2 linked regions of the Saccharomyces cerevisiae S288C genome follow. The protein of the gene in region 2 interacts with the protein of the main gene of each other region in a pairwise test. Each region holds a gene or a part of one and is shown on either strand. Other genes may lie near its edges.

Region 1 (10,612 bases), on a different chromosome or scaffold from region 2:
TGGACACAGGGCGACAGTCACAGATATTGCCATAATAGACCGAGGAAGGAATGTGCTCTCTGCCTCTTTGGATGGTACAATTCGCCTTTGGGAGTGCGGCACAGGAACGACAATTCACACGTTTAACAGAAAAGAAAACCCGCATGATGGTGTTAACAGCATAGCGCTGTTCGTAGGGACAGACAGACAATTACATGAAATTTCTACTTCCAAGAAAAATAATCTAGAGTTTGGAACATATGGAAAATATGTGATTGCTGGTCACGTTTCTGGTGTTATTACTGTACATAATGTATTTTCCAAAGAGCAAACTATTCAACTCCCAAGCAAGTTCACATGTTCATGTAATTCATTGACAGTCGATGGCAATAATGCAAACTATATTTATGCCGGATATGAAAATGGAATGCTAGCTCAATGGGATCTAAGATCACCGGAATGCCCAGTTGGTGAGTTTTTAATTAATGAAGGCACCCCAATAAACAATGTCTACTTTGCAGCCGGAGCCTTATTTGTATCTTCTGGATTCGACACCAGTATTAAGCTTGACATTATTTCAGACCCAGAAAGTGAACGGCCCGCTATTGAATTTGAGACGCCCACCTTTTTAGTTTCCAATGACGATGAGGTCAGCCAATTCTGTTACGTTTCTGATGATGAATCAAATGGGGAGGTGCTTGAAGTTGGAAAAAACAACTTCTGCGCTTTGTATAACTTAAGTAATCCTTAACCTCTTTCGTACTAGTAACTTTTTCAAAAAAGTTCACTTCGCTGCATGAGCTTGGCGTAATGCGCTTTGAGGGTGATAATGCATTTTATTTCCATATGAAATATGTCTAAAATAGAACAATTCACTAAGAACAAGAAGGCCAAACTAAGCAGAATATGGTAGAGTTGACAATTACGGGTGATGATGATGATATATTGAGTATGTTTTTTGATGAGGAGTTCGTTCCCCATGCATTCGTTGATATACTCTTATCAAATGCCTTAAACGAAGATCAGATTCAAACGCAATCAGTATCCTCATTGCTATTAACCAGGTTGGATTTTTACACAAAGAACCTTACAAAAGAGTTGGAAAGCACCATATGGAATTTGGATAAATTATCTCAAACGTTACCAAGAACTTGGGCATCTTCTAGGTATCACAAAGAAGCAGAACAGAACGATTCCTCATTGTATTCTACTGAATCCTTAAAATCATCGAAGCTTGAATATTACTTAGATACGTTGGCAAGTGCTGTAAGAGCATTAGAAACAGGAATGCATAATGTAACTGAGAAACTAAGCGATCTAGATAACGAAAATAATCGCAATACCAATGTGAGGCAACAACTGCAAAGTTTAATGTTGATTAAGGAGAGAATTGAAAAAGTGGTATATTACCTGGAACAAGTTAGGACCGTTACGAATATTTCGACAGTTAGAGAAAATAATACAACCAGCACGGGGACAGATCTTTCGATAACAGATTTTAGAACATCATTGAAAGCATTAGAGGATACAATCGATGAATCTTTAAGCTCTGCGATTGATAACGAGGCTAAAGATGAAACAAACAAGGATTTGATTGGGAGAATTGATTCACTTTCTGAACTGAAATGTCTGTTTAAAGGCCTAGATAAGTTCTTTGCTGAGTATAGCAACTTTTCGGAGAGCATAAAATCAAAAGCACAAAGTTATTTATCAACCAAGAATATTGACGATGGTATGATATCATAATCGGTGATAAAAACAAAAAATTTGCAATTAACAAAAGAAATTTATAGCATGTTTAAATTCTTATTTCTTTTTACCATTTCCAGTCCTTTTGGTCCACTTGTAATGCATAAAAGGGTAAAAAGGAATTTGTTTAGGAGGACATGCTATTTCAGATAGTTTCTTTTTATTGATTATATAATATAGTGTACAATTTTGAAAATATAACTATTACACACATCTTTTCATTTGGTCACTTACATTTGTATAAACATATAGAGCGCGTCTATTAATAAAAGGCGGTGGACTCTGGACTATCAGATTCCTCCAACAGCGCTTCTTCATCGTCGTGTTTTCCAGTATGGTTTTTTCTGAGGAACTCGAGTCCAAATACGTACTTGAATCTTTGAACGAAAGCAGCCGGAAATACCTTCACTGCTACTTCATCGGGGCAGATTCTCACTAGCACCCCCATGATTAGAGACAACATACCACACAGTACCGCGGTTATCCACATTGATTTGGTTTGTCTGGCAATAGAAAATGGTGCGCCACCAAAAAACATGATTAAAACTTGACAGCTGCCAATGATCGCCATGATCGTGAGAAAATAATAGTTTCTACCCAAGTCTTGGAAGAAATTCAAATTGGCGGCAGAAATCCTGCCTCTCCAGTTTGATATACCATCACCTTCATCTAATTTTCTCGATACTAACATGGTAAAAAATTGCAACCAAACAAAAGTGTTGAATGTCATGGCATTCAGTTGCTGCTGTTGGTGACTTGTTATTTCATCTTCATGTTTCTTGAAGAATAACTCTGGCCCGTAAAAATGCAAAATGAAAGTAACTATCAACTGCAATGTAGCTTGTGATAGAATCATTTTCCAAGTTGACACAGAAATCAAAGAAGTTGAGCGGCCCCTAGGTTTTCTGTCCATGATATTTGGATCGGGTTTATCAGTGGCTAAAGCTAAAGCTGCTAGAGTATCCATGATTAGATTGATCCATAACAGTTGGACCGCCGTCAGTACTGATGTTTCATCACTAGATGCAACGGATGAAACGAACGTTAAAATCACTGCGGTGATATTAACAATTAATTGAAACTGTATGAACTTTTTTATGGAGACTGAAACACATCTTCCCCACTTAATAGCGTTGACAATAGCTGAGAAATCATCAGTCATCAAAATAATGTCAGAAGCCTCTCTGGCAACCTCCGTACCGGAAATACCCATTGAGAAACCAACATCAGCTAGCTTTAAAGCTGGAGCATCGTTCGTACCATCGCCAGTGACCGCAACAACATCTCCCATCCCCTTCAATGTTTCTACTAATAACCTTTTATCCTCAGGCGAAGACCTTGCTAAGACCCTTAAATTTGGCAGGATTCTTATACGTTCGTTTTTCGTTAACTTTCTGAATTCAGTGCCTTCCATTGCAGAATAAGCCTCTGAACTAATATCAGTAGAAAGAATCGCACAATTCCTCGCGATTGCTTTTGCTGTTAATATATTGTCACCAGTAACCATACGCACAGTTACACCAGCACGTTGGCACTGTTGTACTGACTCCCTAACGCCTGCACGTAAAGGGTCTTGAATCCCAAGTAAACCATCTAGAATTAAGCCCTTTTGACTGTTAAATAGCAAGTCAAGAGCAGCTATATTTGGTGAGTCTTTATCACGCAGCTGTTCAGGGGGCCAGCTATCACATTCGCAGAAATCTTTGTGGGCAACACTTATGGCTCTGAGAGCATCGGACGCAAGATTTTTGATTTCATCATCAGTTTCTTTTTTATTGTCCTCATTGATTTCTTCCAAAGTATCATCTGAATTCCTCTTGTACGAACAATTCTTGGAAACAATTTCTGCTGCACCTTTAATGAAAAACCTGTAAAATGGTTTTTTATTTTTGCCTTCTTTGTACTTTACCACTAAGCCGGCCCATTTACGAGAACTTTCAAACGGAATTGTTTGAACAACTTTTTCGATATTAAACTTTTCCATCGGTTGATCTCTCAAATATTGCAATTCTCCCGGTTGTAATCCTAATGATAATCTTGCCAAACTGAGTAAGGCTGTTTCCGTTTTAGAGCCAATAAAGGGTTCTTGCCTACCCTTGTTGACATTTTTGAATAATTGATCCTCGTCATCTTCCCTGTTGCCTTTTTTAAAAAACGATAATCTAGATTTACACTTATCTAAAAAACTCAAATTTTTTGACATATTTTTACTACCATTTGTATTTTTATCGTTTTTCTTATAATCTCTGTTTTCGAAGGCGGTAGAATTCAGGACAATATTGGCTAATAAATCATTTCTCAAGGATGACGAACAATTTTCTTCAAAAACTTTCTTAGAATTCAGCTTCCTTTGTTCGCTAACGGGCAACGATTTACTATCATCAAATTTAGAATTGCCCGGGAAGCCACGAACGACAGTCATGACATTTTCTGTCAAAGTGCCAGTCTTATCAGAGCACACTGCAGTAGCAGATCCCATCGTTTCACAGCTTCTTAAAACCCGTACTAAATTACCGTCTTTTGTCATTCTTGTTGTTGCAAACGCTAAGGCCAAAGTTACAGCTAATGGTAAACCTTCCGGAACAGCCACCACAATAACCGTGATAGATGTGATAAAAATGTTCATAAATTTAGAACCCTTTTGAGCGGGATCTAGATCATGGAACCTGCCATCCTCAGGTATTATGTAAAATAAGTACCTAGTGAAAAGGACCAAGAAAAGAATTATAGCAGACACGCAACCGTAAACGGATATATTATCAGCCAATTGGCTCAAATGTAACTGTAATGGAGTACTTTCAGGTTCGGCATTTAATGAAGTCATGGTTTGACCGTAAACTGAGTTTATACCCACGGACGTGATGACACCCCTGCCCAAGCCAGAGAGAATTCTGGAACCTGAAATCAACATACAATCAGCAATCTTGTTACCGTCTTCGTTAACGTCACCTATATCTAATGGTTTGCTATGGTTATGACTATCGATAGAATTAAATTTTTTGAAATCTCTTAATGAGTTATCCACCGGAAATTTCTGTATTGTGTTAGATTCACCAGTGATGGATGATTCATCTGCCTCACACTTCCCTGATATCATAACACAATCAGCGGGGACAACATCACCGGTTTGTAATGAAATGACATCACCGACTAAAACGTGGTGAATGGAAATTAATATTTCCTGATCATTTCTTATGACTATAATTTTACGGTTTTCCTTCTTTTTATTTAGCTTTGCAAATTGCAACTCCTTCTGGTAATCGTTAGCGGCACTCACTAGAACTACCACAAAGACCGCAATCATGATAGCAACCCCTTCAATCCAGTCAACTTGCTTAATTTTATTTCCTTCAGGATCATACTGTGGAGGTTGCATCCATAGTTCGTATAGACCTAAAACAAAGGAAACAACAGCGGCGACTGTCAGTAATTGCATTGTTTTGTCATTAAAAGCAGCCCATACTAATTGTAAAAAAGACTTTGGTATTCTTTCAGGAAGTGAATTATCGCCATAATTTTTATACCGGTTTGTCTTTCGATAATTTGATATTTCTGGAAGAGAAATGCCTGCATTTTTATCTGTTTTCAAGTATTTGAAGAGGCTGTTAGACTCATATCCAAATAATCTGACAAATGATCTTATTGATTTAGGGTTATGAAGATCCGAAAGTTGACTTTTTGATAATTTGAAATTATCGTAGACTCCGTTCTCATTTCCCGTATACGATGGTTTGTTATTTTCATTATTCGCTAGTAAAGCAGAATTTTCGTCTTGTCTAGACATTATTTTTTTTGTTACGCACACAGTTTTTTTTTTTTTAGAACCACTTTTCTAAACTTTATTTGTTCAAGTTTTATTTCTTTAATTCAATGTCGTATATATGTGATACAATTCTCTTAATACACTTAGTTTTTACTGGAGGCGCATGAGTTTTTTGACGTTTTCTTAAGCCTTTCTATTGAATGAAAATTACCAGAAAAGCCCCTTCTTCCTCAAATTTATGAAAAAATGTTTATTCTTAACCTAAGCCTTCTCAATTGAATCGTGCCAACCTGACTAAAATGTAGTTTGGGGAAGTGAAAAAATCTGAAGAGATTATTTAATTTTTCGTTAAGCCTGCAATTTATTTTGGTAATAATTGCTAGAAAGAAATCGAATATTTAACGCAATTCAAATAAAGCCTTTCCTTGGGGGGGGGCTGATACTATTTGAATGTTTTTGGAAGGCGCCCATTAAATGCAATGCCAAGTGGCGATGATAATGAATTATGAAGATTAGCATTTGTTTAAAAAGCGTGGAGGGCGCTTCTAGGGCCTGAGCCTCCTAATTTTCTTTTCCCCCTGACAAATGATGGAGAAGCTTCTTTGCCGGGTAAAAACCCTTTTTTTTTATCTTTTCTGCGGGCGGATAAAGCTGTTAGTGCCACATGTTTCTATACAAACTGTATTAAAGTAAAAAAATTAATAGACAATTTAGGCCCCTCAAATGGGTAAAATAGAACATATATCAGTATGCACAGCTCACTATTTTAAAAGCGGCAGGCTTGGAGCTGTAGGACCACACTACTGCGACAAAAAAAGATAAAGTTGTGTTTTATTTATGTTTTGCCGTAAGATCGATACTTTTCTTATTCTCATCAAGAAAACACAAACTGCCAAGAACTAAGAAAAGAAGAGCCGTAAACAATGCTTGTAAACCGAAGTATGAAAAGAAAAACTTGATAATTAAATCATCCCCTTTGGCTCAAATATTTATTTTGTATTATTCATGCTTGATTAGTTTAAGAGTGAACTTTACTATCTTAATTTTATTTTAGCCTTTTCAGCTTATGGCACAATAGTGAAAACAAGATCATGTTAAGTTCTGTACCAGAAGAGAGAACCGATAAATAGTTTAATAAGCAGATCAATGCCAAGAATAAGATAAAACAACTATGGAGACTGATGTAAATATACTTGAAGCCGGGCAATAATATAAGCACCGTGAGCCGATTCTCCTCGATCCTACACTGCACCATATAACGAATGGTCTTGGACTATGGAAGGCAGTAACCAACAACAGAAAAGAGAGATTAATTAGAAAAAGACATTTCTCGAGAGAAAAAAAGTAAAGACCTTATCGTACAACTGTTACTGACATTTTTATTTTAAGAAGCTAAACCCTTATTATTAGCGCGCCCAAGTAGGCGCAAAACTAGAGAAGTCGCAGATGCATCCACCCACTTTTTGCCTTATTTTTCCTTAATTTCAGAAATATAGTTAAAATGAAAAACAAGGACAAGAAAAGAACGGGAAAAAGAAAAGGGGGATTAGCAAACAAAGAAAAGTCCAATAAAATGATTACAGACAGCATTGGATGCGATGAGATGGCAACCAGCGAGATGAGAGCATAGGATTTTCATCCTAGCTGCTTTAGGGAAGACGCACAAAACTTTGTTATGTTTGTAGTAAATATAGAAAAGAAAACAAAAAAGTGCTCGGACGAATCCGGTAGAGCTGTGTCTAGCCTCAATAAGTTTGCCGCATTTGGTAAATCAAAACTGTTTTTCTCTCCGTCATTTGTTTTGAAGCTTGTTCTGTTAGTTTAGGGAAATAGAAAAAAAAAAAAAGGGAAAAAGAAAGAAATCATATGCCCAATGGAGTACGAGAATTGGGGAAAAAGCCTCCATCGGGTTTTTAAACGGGCGTATACATGCTTACCACACTCCCGTAAGCAAGAACAAAGAATTTATCTTGATAAACTGCGTAATAAGTCAATCAATTGCTCTATATACGCGCATATACGTAAAACACAGAATCACATTTTAGTCAGGCCCAAGCCGTATAGGGCGAAAAAGCCCGCGCTTATCAAGTCATCGTAACGAATCAGATCTTTCCAACTGCTATCGCATACGTAAGAGAATTGAAATATTTCTCGGGTACGATACGACATTTTTTCTTTACATTTCTTTACTAAACCCGACGGCACGGGAAAGAAGATGAGACTCGGAACGGAAGCTAGAAGAAAAAGGAAGGACACAGAGATTTTCCGAGATTAACTCAGCTTTGCTAAAGTGCAAAAAGTCGTTTACGTCACCATCGCTGACGGGGAAAAAACAAAACAAGCTTCCTGAAACGGAGAAACATAAACAGGCATTGCTGGGATCACCCATACATCACTCTGTTTTGCCTGACCTTTTCCGGTAATTTGAAAACAAACCCGGTCTCGAAGCGGAGATCCGGCGATAATTACCGCAGAAATAAACCCATACACGAGACGTAGAACCAGCCGCACATGGCCGGAGAAACTCCTGCGAGAATTTCGTAAACTCGCGCGCATTGCATCTGTATTTCCTAATGCGGCACTTCCAGGCCTCGAGACCTCTGACATGCTTTTGACAGGAATAGACATTTTCAGAATGTTATCCATATGCCTTTCGGGTTTTTTTCCTTCCTTTTCCATCATGAAAAATCTCTCGAGACCGTTTATCCATTGCTTTTTTGTTGTCTTTTTCCCTCGTTCACAGAAAGTCTGAAGAAGCTATAGTAGAACTATGAGCTTTTTTTGTTTCTGTTTTCCTTTTTTTTTTTTTTACCTCTGTGGAAATTGTTACTCTCACACTCTTTAGTTCGTTTGTTTGTTTTGTTTATTCCAATTATGACCGGTGACGAAACGTGGTCGATGGTGGGTACCGCTTATGCTCCCCTCCATTAGTTTCGATTATATAAAAAGGCCAAATATTGTATTATTTTCAAATGTCCTATCATTATCGTCTAACATCTAATTTCTCTTAAATTTTTTCTCTTTCTTTCCTATAACACCAATAGTGAAAATCTTTTTTTCTTCTATATCTACAAAAACTTTTTTTTTCTATCAACCTCGTTGATAAATTTTTTCTTTAACAATCGTTAATAATTAATTAATTGGAAAATAACCATTTTTTCTCTCTTTTATACACACATTCAAAAGAAAGAAAAAAAATATACCCCAGCTAGTTAAAGAAAATCATTGAAAAGAATAAGAAGATAAGAAAGATTTAATTATCAAACAATATCAATATGACTGATACATCATCCTCTTCATCATCCTCTTCAGCATCTTCTGTTTCAGCTCATCAGCCAACTCAAGAAAAGCCTGCTAAGACTTACGATGACGCTGCATCTGAATCTTCTGACGATGACGATATCGATGCTTTAATCGAAGAACTACAATCTAATCACGGTGTCGACGACGAAGACAGTGATAACGATGGTCCAGTTGCCGCCGGTGAAGCTAGACCAGTTCCAGAAGAATATTTACAAACTGACCCATCTTACGGTTTAACTTCCGATGAAGTTTTGAAAAGAAGAAAGAAGTACGGTTTGAATCAAATGGCTGACGAAAAAGAATCTTTAGTCGTTAAGTTCGTTATGTTTTTCGTCGGTCCAATTCAATTCGTTATGGAAGCCGCTGCTATTTTGGCTGCCGGTTTGTCCGATTGGGTCGATTTCGGTGTTATCTGTGGTTTGTTAATGTTAAACGCTGGTGTTGGTTTCGTTCAAGAATTCCAAGCTGGTTCTATTGTCGATGAATTGAAAAAGACTTTGGCTAACACTGCTGTTGTTATCAGAGACGGTCAATTGGTTGAAATTCCAGCCAACGAAGTCGTCCCAGGTGATATTTTGCAATTGGAAGATGGTACTGTTATCCCAACTGATGGTCGTATTGTCACTGAAGACTGTTTCTTGCAAATCGATCAATCTGCTATTACTGGTGAATCTTTGGCTGTCGACAAACATTACGGTGACCAAACTTTCTCTTCTTCCACTGTTAAGAGAGGTGAAGGTTTCATGGTTGTTACCGCTACCGGTGACAACACTTTCGTTGGTAGAGCTGCTGCTTTGGTTAACAAAGCCGCTGGTGGTCAAGGTCATTTCACTGAAGTTTTGAACGGTATTGGTATTATCTTATTGGTTTTGGTCATTGCCACTTTGTTGTTGGTCTGGACTGCTTGTTTCTACAGAACCAACGGTATTGTTAGAATCTTGAGATACACTCTAGGTATTACTATTATTGGTGTCCCAGTCGGTTTGCCAGCTGTCGTTACCACCACTATGGCCGTCGGTGCTGCTTACTTGGCTAAGAAACAAGCCATTGTTCAAAAGTTGTCTGCTATTGAATCCTTGGCTGGTGTCGAAATCTTGTGTTCCGACAAAACCGGTACTTTGACCAAGAACAAGTTGTCCTTGCACGAACCATACACTGTTGAAGGTGTTTCTCCAGACGACTTGATGTTGACTGCTTGTTTGGCTGCTTCCAGAAAGAAGAAGGGTTTGGATGCTATTGATAAGGCTTTCTTGAAGTCTTTGAAGCAATATCCAAAGGCTAAGGACGCTTTGACCAAGTACAAGGTTTTGGAATTCCATCCATTTGACCCTGTCTCCAAGAAGGTTACTGCCGTTGTCGAATCTCCAGAAGGTGAAAGAATTGTTTGTGTTAAGGGTGCTCCATTATTCGTCTTGAAGACTGTCGAAGAAGATCACCCAATCCCAGAAGATGTCCATGAAAACTACGAAAACAAGGTTGCTGAATTGGCTTCTAGAGGGTTCCGTGCTTTAGGTGTTGCTAGAAAGAGAGGTGAAGGTCACTGGGAAATCTTGGGTGTTATGCCATGTATGGATCCACCAAGAGACGATACTGCTCAAACTGTTAGCGAAGCTAGACACTTGGGTCTAAGAGTTAAGATGTTAACTGGTGATGCTGTTGGTATTGCTAAGGAAACTTGTAGACAATTGGGTTTGGGTACCAACATTTACAACGCTGAAAGATTAGGTCTAGGTGGCGGTGGTGACATGCCAGGTTCTGAATTAGCTGATTTTGTTGAAAATGCCGATGGTTTCGCTGAAGTTTTCCCACAACATAAAT
Region 2 (12,975 bases):
TTTGAGTATGCTGCTGTCAGTTGACCTGGGACAGTGAACATATAGCCTGACCTATAGGATGGATAAAGAGTCAAGTTTCTTGTATTACTACTATTCATCACTTTTGCGTAAGGAATGTAACCAGATTTGATCTTCTTGATGATAGTGGACGCGGTAGTTTCATTTGTCTCTTCAGTAACTGCGTCATCTTCAACCTTCTTTGCCTGTGCAATGGCTATAGTGTTATCCTCTAAGTCCATTGCCATATATATATTTTTTATGAAGGCTTCTCCGAGTATGTTTACTCCAGTATTTGTATTAGCGTATAGTGTTAGAAAACAAGCTTCCTGTCCAGAACTGAAAAACATTGAAGAATTGGTGGATGTATCGTAAGTAGATGATAATAAATCACGTAGGGGTATTTCAATTGTCAATTCTCGAAGCCTGAAACCCAAGGAGACACCCATATCTGCTATAGAACATTGGACTAGCCACCTATCTAGTGATTCCACATAAGTGGCCGCAATTTGAACGGCAATCTGAATAATGGTACTAGTTGGCAGGTAACTGACCGAAGAAGTTGAATCAAGTAAGGCTGGGCTCAGAAAGTCCTTCGAAGTCATATTCAAACTTTGTCCGCTGTTAGACACAATATAAATAGGGCCTAATGGCACAATTGGGTACCCAACACTAACAGCATTACTCACTGGGTCAACGTAAGGAATTAAGTCAAATTTTCCCAGTGTACCGGTAAACAGCGAAGGATCCACCCCTCCAAGAAGTAGCTTCCCACAATTAGATATTGGATCTCTATATGTTTTGTACGTGGAAGTGTCTCCAGCCAACCACAGTGAATATGACGAACTTTCAATGATATCTGCATCTTTCAATAAGGATAGAAAATAAGACTGTTCTGTGTATTGTGAGCTATCGATAGCATTGCCTGGGTTTGTGACCTTCCCGCTTAAACCTAACAAGCCTGAAGTCTTAAAGTTCGAGGACTGAATATCAAAGAAGGAAACGTTTGAAATGGATAGGCTCCCCGAGTTAAATTGTACGTTATCTCGAGTTACCATTAAATCGGTTATCAAAGCGGTCGAGGAATTTTCTGAGGAAACATTTGTAAAATTCATATCGTCTGTCACCAAAGTACAGTTAACAGCTCTACCATCAATGAAAGAAATCTCATATATTTGGCCAGGAGAAACAGGAACAGATGATGTAGAGTCATTCATGAGGTAGCTGGGATGCTTATGATATACACCGGAGTATTCGTTATGACTTTCGCTTGTTCCGGAAACCAGATTTATGTACGGTTGGATAATATCCACTAGCAAACGTTGGCGTTGACCGGGAGTGCCAAATGTGCTATTAACATAGTAGTTTCCTCTACCATCTTTACCCACGGCTAGTACAGGAAACGGCTCCTCCGTTGACGAAGAGGTTCCAGACTTTGCTGTAGTTGTTGTATTTGCAGTACTAGCCGTTGCAAACTCTAACTGAAAAGTTGATATGAGCCACAGATACCATAAAATTAGGCATGTCATAGCAAAAATCAACGGCAAATAAAGCAAGCACGCAGTTACGATACGTTCAAAGATCTTTCCAAGTTCTGTATCCTTCTAGAACGATTAGTCTAATGCAACTGATATGTCCAACATTCTAAATATAACTTATTTTGGTATTAGCTGCATCATTCTACCATGATGAGCTGCGGCGTTCAATATCTCATTTTTTTTTGTTCGGGGTAACGAGGTTCATTGTTGCAAATAGCACGACCAAACGAGCGGTATGATACAAAGCACTGCAAGTCATAGCTGAGGTAAAAAAAAAAAGAATGAAGATCTCATTGTTTGGGTTAAATTACTTTCAAGAGCCTCTTTTTTAGGCTCGGTTGGTTAAAAGAGCAAGAACCGAAACACTAGTGCATCAATTTTTATAACAATTTTGTAATTATGTTGATAATTGGCAGTAAAGTTACAAAATACACACTAATTAAAATATTGAACACTTACAATATAAAGCTGATATCAAAATAAATATCGAACAATAAATACAACTCTCTCCAATATCAATATACTGCCGTCGTTATTTAAAAAATTAGCCCACCTGGGAACATTATAGAAAGAGATTTGTTTTTTGGTCTGGCAATGTGTCATAATCAAGCTCTTTGCAATATACATCCCCAACTCATATATTTGTATACAGGAAGAAGAATCGACCACCATCTATCGACTAGCATATTATCATATACGGTGTAAAAAGATGACATAAAAGATGAGAAACAGGGTAATCCCAACAATTGTCTCAATATTTACCTATTTCTCACATTGTCACCGCTCGAAAGTGCATTTTATATACGTTCTTTTGTGACGACTACTTTTGGCGGGAATCTTAGCGCCTTAAATGCAGTGAAAGATTACTCTTTTGAGTTATTGCCTGAATTTTGTCTGCAAAATTGTTATTATTCAGGAATTTAGAATAATTCAACTCTGGAGGCCTGCGCTGTACTACGGGCTCAAGTAATACCGGAGTGTCTCGACAATCCTAATATAAACAGTCTTAGGGAAGTAACCAGTTGTCAAAACGGTTTATCAGATTAATTCACGGAATGTTACTTATCCTATATATTATATAAAATATGGATCATACTAAATGGTGGAAGCGCGGAACCTTGGATCTAAACTGTTGGAATAAGAATCCACTATCGTCTATCAACTAATAGTTGTACTATCAATATATTATCATATACGGTGTTAAGATGATGACATAAGTTATGAGAAGCTGTCATCGAAGTTAGAGGAAGCTGAAGTGCAAGGATTGATAATGTAATAGGATAATGAAACATATAAAACGGAATGAGGAATAATCGTAATATTAGTATGTAGAAATATAGATTCCATTTAGAGGATTCCAATATCATCGAGGAGAACTTCTAGTATATTCTGTACACCTAATATTATAGCCTTTATCAACAATGGAATCCCAACAAGTCTCTCAAAATACACCCATTTCTCATAAACCAATTGTTCAGGCATTTATACGTTTAGATAGCCCAGCTATAGAAGGCGGAGTTTTACCTCATGTTGCTCAATCTGTTCGTTTTCTTAGGTTTCATATGTGTTCTATGAACGTTCAGGATAATGTATTGTCATGCTGACGTATCCCATTCTGAGATGTAACGTCTGTACAAAACAAAGCTTCAGTAGCTCAGTAGGAAGAGCGTCAGTCTCATAATCTGAAGGTCGAGAGTTCGAACCTCCCCTGGAGCATTTTTGCCGAGCACGGTACTTTTTTTTATTCTCAGTAAATGAAATCCAAGGGCTCATTTATTTGAGAAAGTAAATAAGGTATTAGAGGTAATAAAGTAACCATGGGCCAAGAAGACATATTCATAAACTTATGAAAAAACTTTGTAGGTATTAATAACTTATGGGTAAATTACTATCTATGAATGAATATTTACTATTTACTAGTGCTCATCTGGATATTAATTTAGACTTTTCAACGTCTCTCTTATAATATTTGTACATTTATTAACATCATCATCATTAAATCTAGGCTTGCCATCTTCTTCGAACATATCTTCGTCAGTAAACAGGGTGCTATCAGTAGGTTCTTTAATGTTATTATTTTCCACCAATTCCGTCAGTAAAGTTTCGTCAAAGTTTTTGGGAAACGGCCAGCCTTGGTCTTTTATTATCTGTATCAAAGCCATATGCCTGATTTCAAAGCCCCCGAAGAGTATCTTATTGTACCAGGAGCGTGCTCCTTTTTCGTCTCTCATTTTGACATAATGCATTACCATTGCAGAACAAAATTTAAACGTTAAAGGCACCCCATTTTTATGCATCACCTGTAGCAATTCTGATAGTTCAGCCTGCGTTAATGTATGATTTTTATAGGCTACTATGGAAAAGGGACATAGCGTGGTAGTTAAAACCACTTTTTTGGCGAAAGGTTGAGAATAAAAATCCAGAAGAACATTGTAGGCCAGCCTTGGTTCACGAGCTTGGAATCTAATATAATTTAGGAAAACATTGAGGATTCCGGTATCATTTCTCCAATACCTGTATTTATGAGCTTCCTCGGAAAGAAAACTCTTGTACTTGTAATATAAATCAAGAAGACAATTCTTGAATTGACCACTTTCCAGTGAAACAGAACTCGAAGATAAAAGGCTTCTATACAGTTCAGTTAAAATTGGAACAGTCACTGGTGATCCTATTCGCATTGTGTTCGGTAGAATATTATTTTTGTTCTTCAGCTCTCTTGCTAACGTAGGAGCTGTCAAAGTCGTTGATTTTGAATGATAGAGCCACCCCCAAATCCCTAGGGCATTCAGAATATTAGCAGACGCCTTTGAGCTGTATGATGAGAGGAGATATTTACACACCAATTTCGGGTCACGAAAGGCTTGAAAAGATGCAATTAATTCACCCATTAAAAACTCCTTGAACAATTTATATTTCATCAGTGGGCTGCTTTGTAAGCAGGAAATTACATTGAAAAGCTCCTCCTGCCTATTAGATATTCGGAGCAGATTCAAGTAGTGGTGAATGGGAAAATTCAATATGTGTTCGTTTCCATCAATGTGATTAAGCAATCCTGAGCTTACAATGAATTTCAGTTCCTCTTGAAAGGTTTTGATGAATAACTCAACATTTCCACTTTTCAAAAGGTAATAAAGTAAGGTATTGTTGAACTTGACATAACGCAGGTTCTTTTGCTTTGCTCCATCTTTACCAGAATAACAGTGCTGTTCCAACTTCTGTAGTAGAGCTTGAATAAATACTTTAATGAACCTAAAATTTTTCGCCTTAACAAGGCCATTTACTAGAGCGATTAAGCTGTCAAATGTATGCAACTTCAGAACTTTTTCCATTATAAATTTTATGTTTGTCTCATCATGCAAAAATATTTGGAACGTGGCTAACTGCCTCTCCATCTCAGTTCCTTTTATCAGCCTATTGGTAAATCTCGTACAGTAGTTAGAAGTAAAGAGAAGAACATCACTTTTCAAAAGAAAAAGATAGTGATTAAAAGATTCTGATTTTGGAATATGATACCAGAACCATCTGTGGACCTCACCTGGTAGATAAAATCCAATTTTTCTTGCCACCTCTGGGTATAACTCGTGTTGATGCAAAATGATATCATATAAAAGTTTCTTCTTTTCATTTTCTGAGCAATTATTTATATGCAGGGCATTTCGTAGAGATTCAAAAAAAGAGGCGTATTCAGTTACTCCAAAAGTCTCACTTAATACAGTTTTCAATTGTCGGAGCTCGTATAAACGCTTCTGAACATTTTTCGAAGATCCGCTCTTCCTAGAACATGGCACCTGTCGTTCAAAATCGCCAAACTGCAAAGGTTCTGAACGATTTGATTTAATTTTCAATGGACAGTTTTTCGTAGATAAATGGCGCAGATTTGTAATAGGTAGAATTGTGTATGTCCCTGCGCTACCCATATGTTTAAACAGCGGTGAAGTGACCATTTGAGCCAAAGGCTGGGAATAGACACGGCATATACATTTTAACATGCCAATAAGAACATTAAAGTGAACGCTTGGAAGATTTGAAAGCCCATTCTTGCCAGTACGCCAATAAAGTGTGTCGCGCAGAATAGATCTTCATGTAATTCCTTTTTCCCTTTTATGCAATCTATAATGTTAATCAGCGTAGATCACTATATACGCTTTTTTTTTTTTTTTTCAGCTCCGATTAGAGAGCAAAAGAGATGTAACATCGATCCTGCTATAATTAGAATACAAGTGTTGATCTTTAATTGTACTGTTTCTGCGAAAGCTATCGAGCATTTGGCTGTATTCCACTGTCCATTGTATTTTTAACTCTCCTTTTTATCATTCTGAAACATAGAGCTGTTTTGACAAAATTCAGTTTTTTCTCAATTAGTGCTTTCATTCATACGTTCGTTACAAGCTTTGAATTTTAACTTTATTTTCGGGCTTCCACCTTTGCTTCATTATTTTACTTCAGCTCTTTAGCTTTCTGTGACATTCAATTTTATTGTATGACAGCACGTCGTTTGATTAATATAGTTCCTAATACGTCTAAGCTAGACCCTTTAAAGGAGGAGGACTCAACGCATCTGAAACAAAATCAACCTAAGAAGTTTTCCACAAAGGAGTTGATGCTTTCAGAATATACCGAACGCAAAAGTTGCAGCCTTCCGTTGTCTAAATCCCGATCAGGCAGTAGTGCATCCAGTAGCACTACAGGTTCGAACGGAAAGAATATTGGAACAAGACGCCCTAGCTCCAACCTAGATTTCAATTTCGCTAGCCAAGATGTTGTTAAAAATGTATTAGGTAATAATAATCCACACGTACCCACAGCGAAGTGCATTAGGCCAATATCAGATGATTCTATAGGTACATCGAGCACAGAGATATTTTCTTCATCGCACTCAAATACGACATCTGATTCTTTATGTACATCAGATATAAGCTCAGAAGAGGGTGAAATAGCAAACAGTAAGATGGAGGATAACTGCTTCTTCAAAAGTATGAGAGAAGCTGACCATAGAAGCAATATTACGCCCTTAAAGAAAAGCCGACCGGGATCAATACTACAGAAAACACGTACAGCAAGTAGCGCTGATAAAACAATCTGCTCAATGAGTACCATAACTACATGCATTCCATCTCGTCAAAATTCGGTGTCAACTCCTAAACTCTCCAGGACAGTAGGGCTGCCTGGATCGAGCAATACAACCAACAGTATAGCCGCATCACAAACTTCATTCATAAGCGAGAATGACTCTCCTCTTAAACATCATTGCATGAGTACCGCAACTATCCAAGAACCAAAACTCATGCCGATCACAAAAACGCCGTATGTGCATTCCAATAGTACTTCTGTAATATTACCATATAAAACAACCCAACTTACTCCTTCTCAACGTTACCGTTTAAGGAAAGAGCAAAATGACCAATCTTTGCGTAAAGCCATAAAAATGAAAGAAAAATTTTATGAAGATCAAGACGTTAACTTGGAACTTCAAGAGGGCGATGTCGACGGCTCGTTAATTTGGAACATTCCAATGGCATCTTTATCGACCAGTTCTTTTTTAACATTATCTAAGTTTAATAGAAAAGAAATGAGTTTAGATTCAGCGCGGGGGGATGAAGAGATATTAATACAGGAGAACAATTGCGAAGGCAAACAACACTCATCTTCGGCTCTCTGTGTGGACAAAACTTTCCATCAGGTTCATAGTACTAGAAAACATACATCAAATTCAAGTAACACTTTAAAAGAATCATGTCTGGACTATAAGGAGCTTCCGCCAACATGCATTCCTGGTATATCTCCTGTGTCTGATTCACAGTACATCCAGGATACAATGAAAAATCTCTCCCAAATATACCTGCATAGTTCCGAAAAAATCTCCAAAAGTATTCTTTCTGGTCGTTCAAGATCTGTACAGAGTTTACCACTGGAATTTAAAGAAGCCAGTAGTCAGGGAATGGAAGACCTAATGCTAGTTTCAGAGGACAAACTAAAGGCCGTAAGTCATTTCCGTCCGAGTTGGCTCCCGCCCAAGGATTTCAAAGAGAGGAAATTGCAAGATAAACAAATCTACAAAAATATCGACTTAGCATCAATGGAAGAGTTGCAAAAAAATAAAGAACGTGACGAAAAAGCCAAAAAGAATGAGCAGAATAAGGTCAAATTCCAGCATTTACTGGACCGAGGCATTACTCGTAACTCGTCATTAAGTGAATTAAAGAAAATTATTTGGGAAACACCTTTGATATCTAAAGTACGGCTTCAAATATATAGTCAACTTCTACAAAGTGACAATTGCTTGATAACAAAATGTTTTATTGAATCATTTGAGGAAGTAATGCAGCTACTCAACAAAATGGATTTTCCCAAAGATAAAGAATTTGAAATAAGACAGCTTATTGAACACGATGTACAGGAAAAGGTTTTTTATAAAAATGGAACAGATAAGCAAGTGGTTTCTGACTTGATGCTATTACTGCAACTGAAATCTATATCTCAACAAGGTTTGGTTACTGGTGATGAGATGCTATTCTACCATTTTTTAACTGATCAATCTTTTGGGACTTTGAAGGAAACATGGGAAATGGTCAACTTGATACAGATGACGTGCTTCAGTGAAATTTGCAAGGAAAAATACGATTCAAGAATATTAAATCCCAGAGGAATTGTTGCCCATCTTTTACGAAAAGATGAGTTCAAAAATGAATTCAATGGCGGATGTTTGAATAGCAATACATGGTGGAACATATTGCAAAGAATGGACCATAAACTTTTTATGTGGGTAATGGATGTAATTATCGTTCATAATGGCCAAAACTTTGCAAACTACCCCGTAAAAATGGAAATATTCAAAGACAAAGTATGGGAATACTATAGATCTAAGAAGGTTATTGTAAATTATAAGATTTTGGTTTCACTAACAGTTAACGTATTGTTAAACTACCACTTCGGATATGATAATCTGAAACATTTATCAGATTTGGATGATAAGCATTTTTGTATTCCACTGTATACGGAGGATAGTATCGAAGAGGAAAACCTCAATAATATTTTCACAAAGTGGTGGTTGCACTACTACCGAAAATTACGTTAGCGTGTATGTGGCACGTACTAAAAGTTTGGTGACCAGACTATCTCTTCTTAAGTTCATTTTCACTCTGAAACTTATAAATGCATACATACAGAAATTACTTTCGATTAATATAATAATATATTTTTAATAAACAATGAACTAATGCCCTTATTGTGTTTTGTTATTAACCTTTTCATCACCATTTTTTTTTGCTAGCTTCTACGGCATTCACTTACGTGCTGCAAAATTTCGCAGCATGGAAGAAATTGTTCGCGAAGAAAAAAGATTTCGCTCAGTGATTTGTAGTGACAATAGGTACCAGTGTTATCACTAAGTATATCTTTTAGTATATCTCTTCGCTTGAGGAGGGATCAAAAAAAAACAAACGTAAACGTGCACATAAACGTCAAGTACTTTTTGCAGGCATTAATATTCGTCTCCAACAAAGACAAATAAAGAAGCAATCTTTTCATTACCTTAAGCCAGTATCTATTGATATCAATCGATAAGGTTCGTTGTTATCGGTGCTAAAAATTATAAAGTGAAAATAAGAATCTTTTCATGTCGTGCTCAAACGGCATCTGGCCTACTGTATCTAATTTGTGCGGATCATTATCCTTCTTCACCTCTGTTATTTCATTGTTTCCACAAATAATTGAGACTTATCGAGATAAATCTGTCGATGGGCTATCGCCATATTTTTTGCTGGCTTGGTTATGTGGGGATATTACCTCGCTGATAGGGGCAAAGCTAACAGGGCAATTGTTATTTCAGATACTTTTAGCAATTTATTTTCTATTGAATGATTCTTTTGTATGTGGTCAATATTATTACTATGGCGTGCTGCATGAAAATAAATTGGCGACTGTCGGCCATGAGCCTAAACCTCTTCTTCCCGAACTGGTTGAAAATGGTGAGCTTTTGAGGGAGGAAGAGGACATGATACAAGGTGGTAGCAGTGCAGAAAGCCCTAGAAGCAGTAGAAGAAGGTCTGCCATTACAGCAGCCTTGGCTATAGCTCATACTATAAGTACAGCTAGCGCATATCCGCTAAATGTAGGCTCCACCCAATCACAAGTGGGGCCTCCCGGAGATGGTAAAAACAGCCAGCTGGGTACAATTTTATCTTGGATTGGCGCTTCCTTCTACGTAGGCGCACGTATCCCACAACTAATCAAGAATTACAATAGAAAGTCTACAGACGGCTTATCTCCCTTCCTATTTGCTACTACACTACTCTGCAATATCACGTATAATTTGAGCATCTTCACAAGCTGTAGATTTTTAGATAATCAGAACAAGAGGGAATTCATCGTGAATGAGTTGCCCTTTATATTTGGAAGTGCTGGAACAATTGCGTTTGATTTGATATACTTCTACCAATACTATATCCTTTATGCAACTGATATGCAACTACGTGAACTGGAAAGAGAACTATACAGTCCTGAAGAAGACAGTGCAGCGCAACTAGTGACAGAACGTACATCACTGTTGTCTGGTGAAACGCAAACATAGTTTTCCCTACGGAGTACTACCATTTATATTTAAACAATGCACTCTGCTCTTGGGATAGTCCTTGCGAGACCCTTTTTTCCCAATAGGAATACTACGTTCGTACTCTGTGTAAAAGTACCCAACTATAGTTAGCGCCAGTTTTACGTAAAACCGTCTATGTCTTGTTTGCATTCGCAACAGCTACAAACACATATAGTTTGTCACACTAATATTAATAATGAAAGTTATTATGTATTCACTGTGAACGCTTCAGTATACAGTACGGCAGTAAGTGTTTCATTCTGTTCTGGATTAATAATCTTTCACTTTGCCTAGCCATTTGGGGGCGGGTTTTGGCTGGGTTAGCTTCTCCTTAGTCATGGAGAAAAAAAATCGCCCGCAAGTATCTCGAAAAAGGAAAAAATGCCCACGCGTATAAGAGTGGACCCAACTGCTCGAGGTTTCAAGAGCTTGTAGATTAATTTCTGTAGTTCAGTTATACTTGCCTACAAGTGCTATACAGCAAATAGCGAACAGTACGAAAGTAAACATCATATTATCAATAATGGTTCACAACAAAGTTACTATCATTGGTTCAGGTCCAGCTGCACACACCGCCGCCATCTATTTGGCCAGGGCAGAAATCAAGCCAATCCTATATGAAGGTATGATGGCGAACGGTATTGCTGCCGGTGGCCAGCTAACCACCACTACAGAAATCGAAAACTTCCCAGGTTTCCCAGATGGTCTAACAGGTAGCGAACTGATGGACAGAATGAGAGAACAATCCACGAAGTTTGGCACTGAAATTATCACGGAAACAGTTTCCAAAGTTGATCTGTCTTCCAAACCATTCAAGCTATGGACCGAATTTAACGAAGACGCAGAACCTGTGACGACTGACGCTATAATCTTGGCCACAGGCGCTTCTGCTAAGAGAATGCATTTGCCGGGCGAGGAAACCTACTGGCAAAAAGGTATTTCTGCCTGTGCCGTGTGTGATGGTGCCGTCCCCATTTTCAGAAACAAGCCATTGGCCGTCATTGGTGGTGGTGACTCTGCATGTGAAGAAGCTCAGTTCTTGACCAAGTACGGCTCAAAAGTGTTTATGCTTGTCAGAAAAGACCATTTGCGTGCTTCTACCATTATGCAAAAGCGTGCTGAGAAGAACGAAAAAATTGAAATCCTTTACAACACTGTTGCGCTAGAAGCTAAGGGGGATGGTAAATTATTGAATGCCTTGAGGATTAAGAACACTAAAAAGAATGAAGAAACCGATTTGCCAGTCAGCGGTTTATTTTATGCAATTGGCCACACTCCAGCAACAAAGATTGTCGCTGGCCAAGTCGACACTGATGAAGCGGGCTACATTAAAACTGTCCCAGGCAGCTCATTAACCTCCGTTCCAGGATTTTTCGCTGCTGGTGATGTTCAGGATTCTAAATACAGACAAGCTATTACTTCTGCTGGCTCTGGTTGTATGGCCGCTTTGGATGCTGAGAAATACTTAACTTCCCTAGAATAGATGAATTTTCCATTATAAAATAGATACACTCAAATTTTTGTATACTTATCCAACAAATCGTTACTTTCTCCTTTTCTTTAATAAAAAGCAAACCATGAATTTTATTTCTTTTCCCCATTATTAGAGAAAGCCAATACATAATCTACATATATTGCGTGTCTGAATTAAACTTTTTAGACACATGACATAGGCCATCGGCTTACTTTGTAACGCGTGGTTGCCTATACACCGACTATTAAGTTATGACTAATATTATTGCTGCGCTTCCCCACCTGCATTTTTCTTGTCGTCTTTGCCAAAAGGAAAAAAAAACCTACGCAGATTGACTCTCTAAAAAATGATTCATGACCAGACAATTCAGTAAACATAAACTCTGTTGCATTCATTCTTCTGGAAAACTTTATAATAAAGCATCTGATATTACAGCTACTGACAACTAAGTGAATTTAAACTGCAATAATCACAAGAAAACTTAGTATTCCCTTATCATGTCCGAGGCGACTTTGCTATCTTACACCAAGAAATTATTGGCTTCTCCGCCGCAATTGAGTAGCACAGACCTACACGATGCGTTGCTGGTTATATTAAGTCTTTTGCAAAAATGTGATACAAATAGCGATGAGAGTCTTTCCATCTATACCAAAGTTTCGAGTTTTCTCACGGCCTTGAGAGTTACTAAACTTGATCACAAGGCTGAATACATTGCGGAAGCTGCAAAGGCTGTGCTCAGACATTCCGACCTTGTTGATCTACCTTTACCCAAGAAGGACGAATTACACCCGGAAGATGGACCAGTAATCTTAGATATTGTAGGTACTGGTGGTGACGGACAGAATACTTTTAATGTTTCCACGTCTGCTGCTATCGTTGCCTCCGGAATTCAGGGCCTAAAAATTTGTAAGCACGGTGGTAAAGCTTCTACATCCAATAGTGGAGCTGGTGACCTAATTGGAACTTTAGGCTGTGACATGTTCAAGGTTAATTCATCGACAGTGCCCAAACTTTGGCCTGATAATACGTTCATGTTTCTACTTGCTCCTTTTTTTCATCATGGAATGGGCCACGTTTCTAAGATACGCAAATTTCTTGGAATTCCGACTGTTTTCAACGTACTGGGACCACTTCTACATCCAGTTAGCCACGTAAACAAGAGAATATTGGGCGTTTACTCAAAGGAACTTGCGCCTGAATATGCCAAGGCAGCCGCTTTGGTATATCCAGGAAGCGAAACTTTTATAGTTTGGGGACATGTTGGGTTAGACGAAGTATCACCTATAGGCAAAACTACTGTCTGGCATATTGATCCGACATCGTCCGAACTTAAATTGAAGACCTTCCAATTAGAACCTTCTATGTTTGGTTTAGAA

The links.
Region 1: the proteins of YPQ2 (region 2) and PMC1 interact in a protein complementation assay, tested with the Saccharomyces cerevisiae proteins (2 studies listed by BioGRID).

The regions. Positions count from the first base shown.
Region 1 is NC_001139.9:480,821-491,432, reverse strand, and holds PMC1 (calcium-transporting ATPase PMC1), read right to left. Parts: upstream 5,513-10,612; coding exon 1,991-5,512; downstream 1-1,990. Other genes in the region: RPN14 (Rpn14p), read left to right, coding at 1-730; Golgi transport complex subunit COG7, read left to right, coding at 886-1,725; YGL006W-A (uncharacterized protein), read right to left, coding at 5,900-6,010; BRP1 (Brp1p), read right to left, coding at 7,796-8,173; YGL007C-A (uncharacterized protein), read left to right, coding at 8,406-8,492; H(+)-exporting P2-type ATPase PMA1, read left to right, coding at 8,767-10,612. UniProt on the Saccharomyces cerevisiae protein: This magnesium-dependent enzyme catalyzes the hydrolysis of ATP coupled with the transport of calcium. Transports the calcium to the vacuole and participates in the control of the cytosolic free calcium.
Region 2 is NC_001136.10:1,172,651-1,185,625, forward strand, and holds YPQ2 (Ypq2p), read left to right. Parts: upstream 1-9,150; coding exon 9,151-10,104; downstream 10,105-12,975. Other genes in the region: YPS7 (putative aspartic endopeptidase), read right to left, coding at 1-1,526; ATP22 (Atp22p), read right to left, coding at 3,470-5,524; SBE2 (Sbe2p), read left to right, coding at 6,016-8,610; thioredoxin-disulfide reductase TRR1, read left to right, coding at 10,649-11,608; TRP4 (anthranilate phosphoribosyltransferase), read left to right, coding at 12,097-12,975. UniProt on the Saccharomyces cerevisiae protein: Amino acid transporter that moves arginine across the vacuolar membrane. Active during nitrogen starvation when it exports stored vacuolar arginine to the cytosol, for use as a nitrogen source.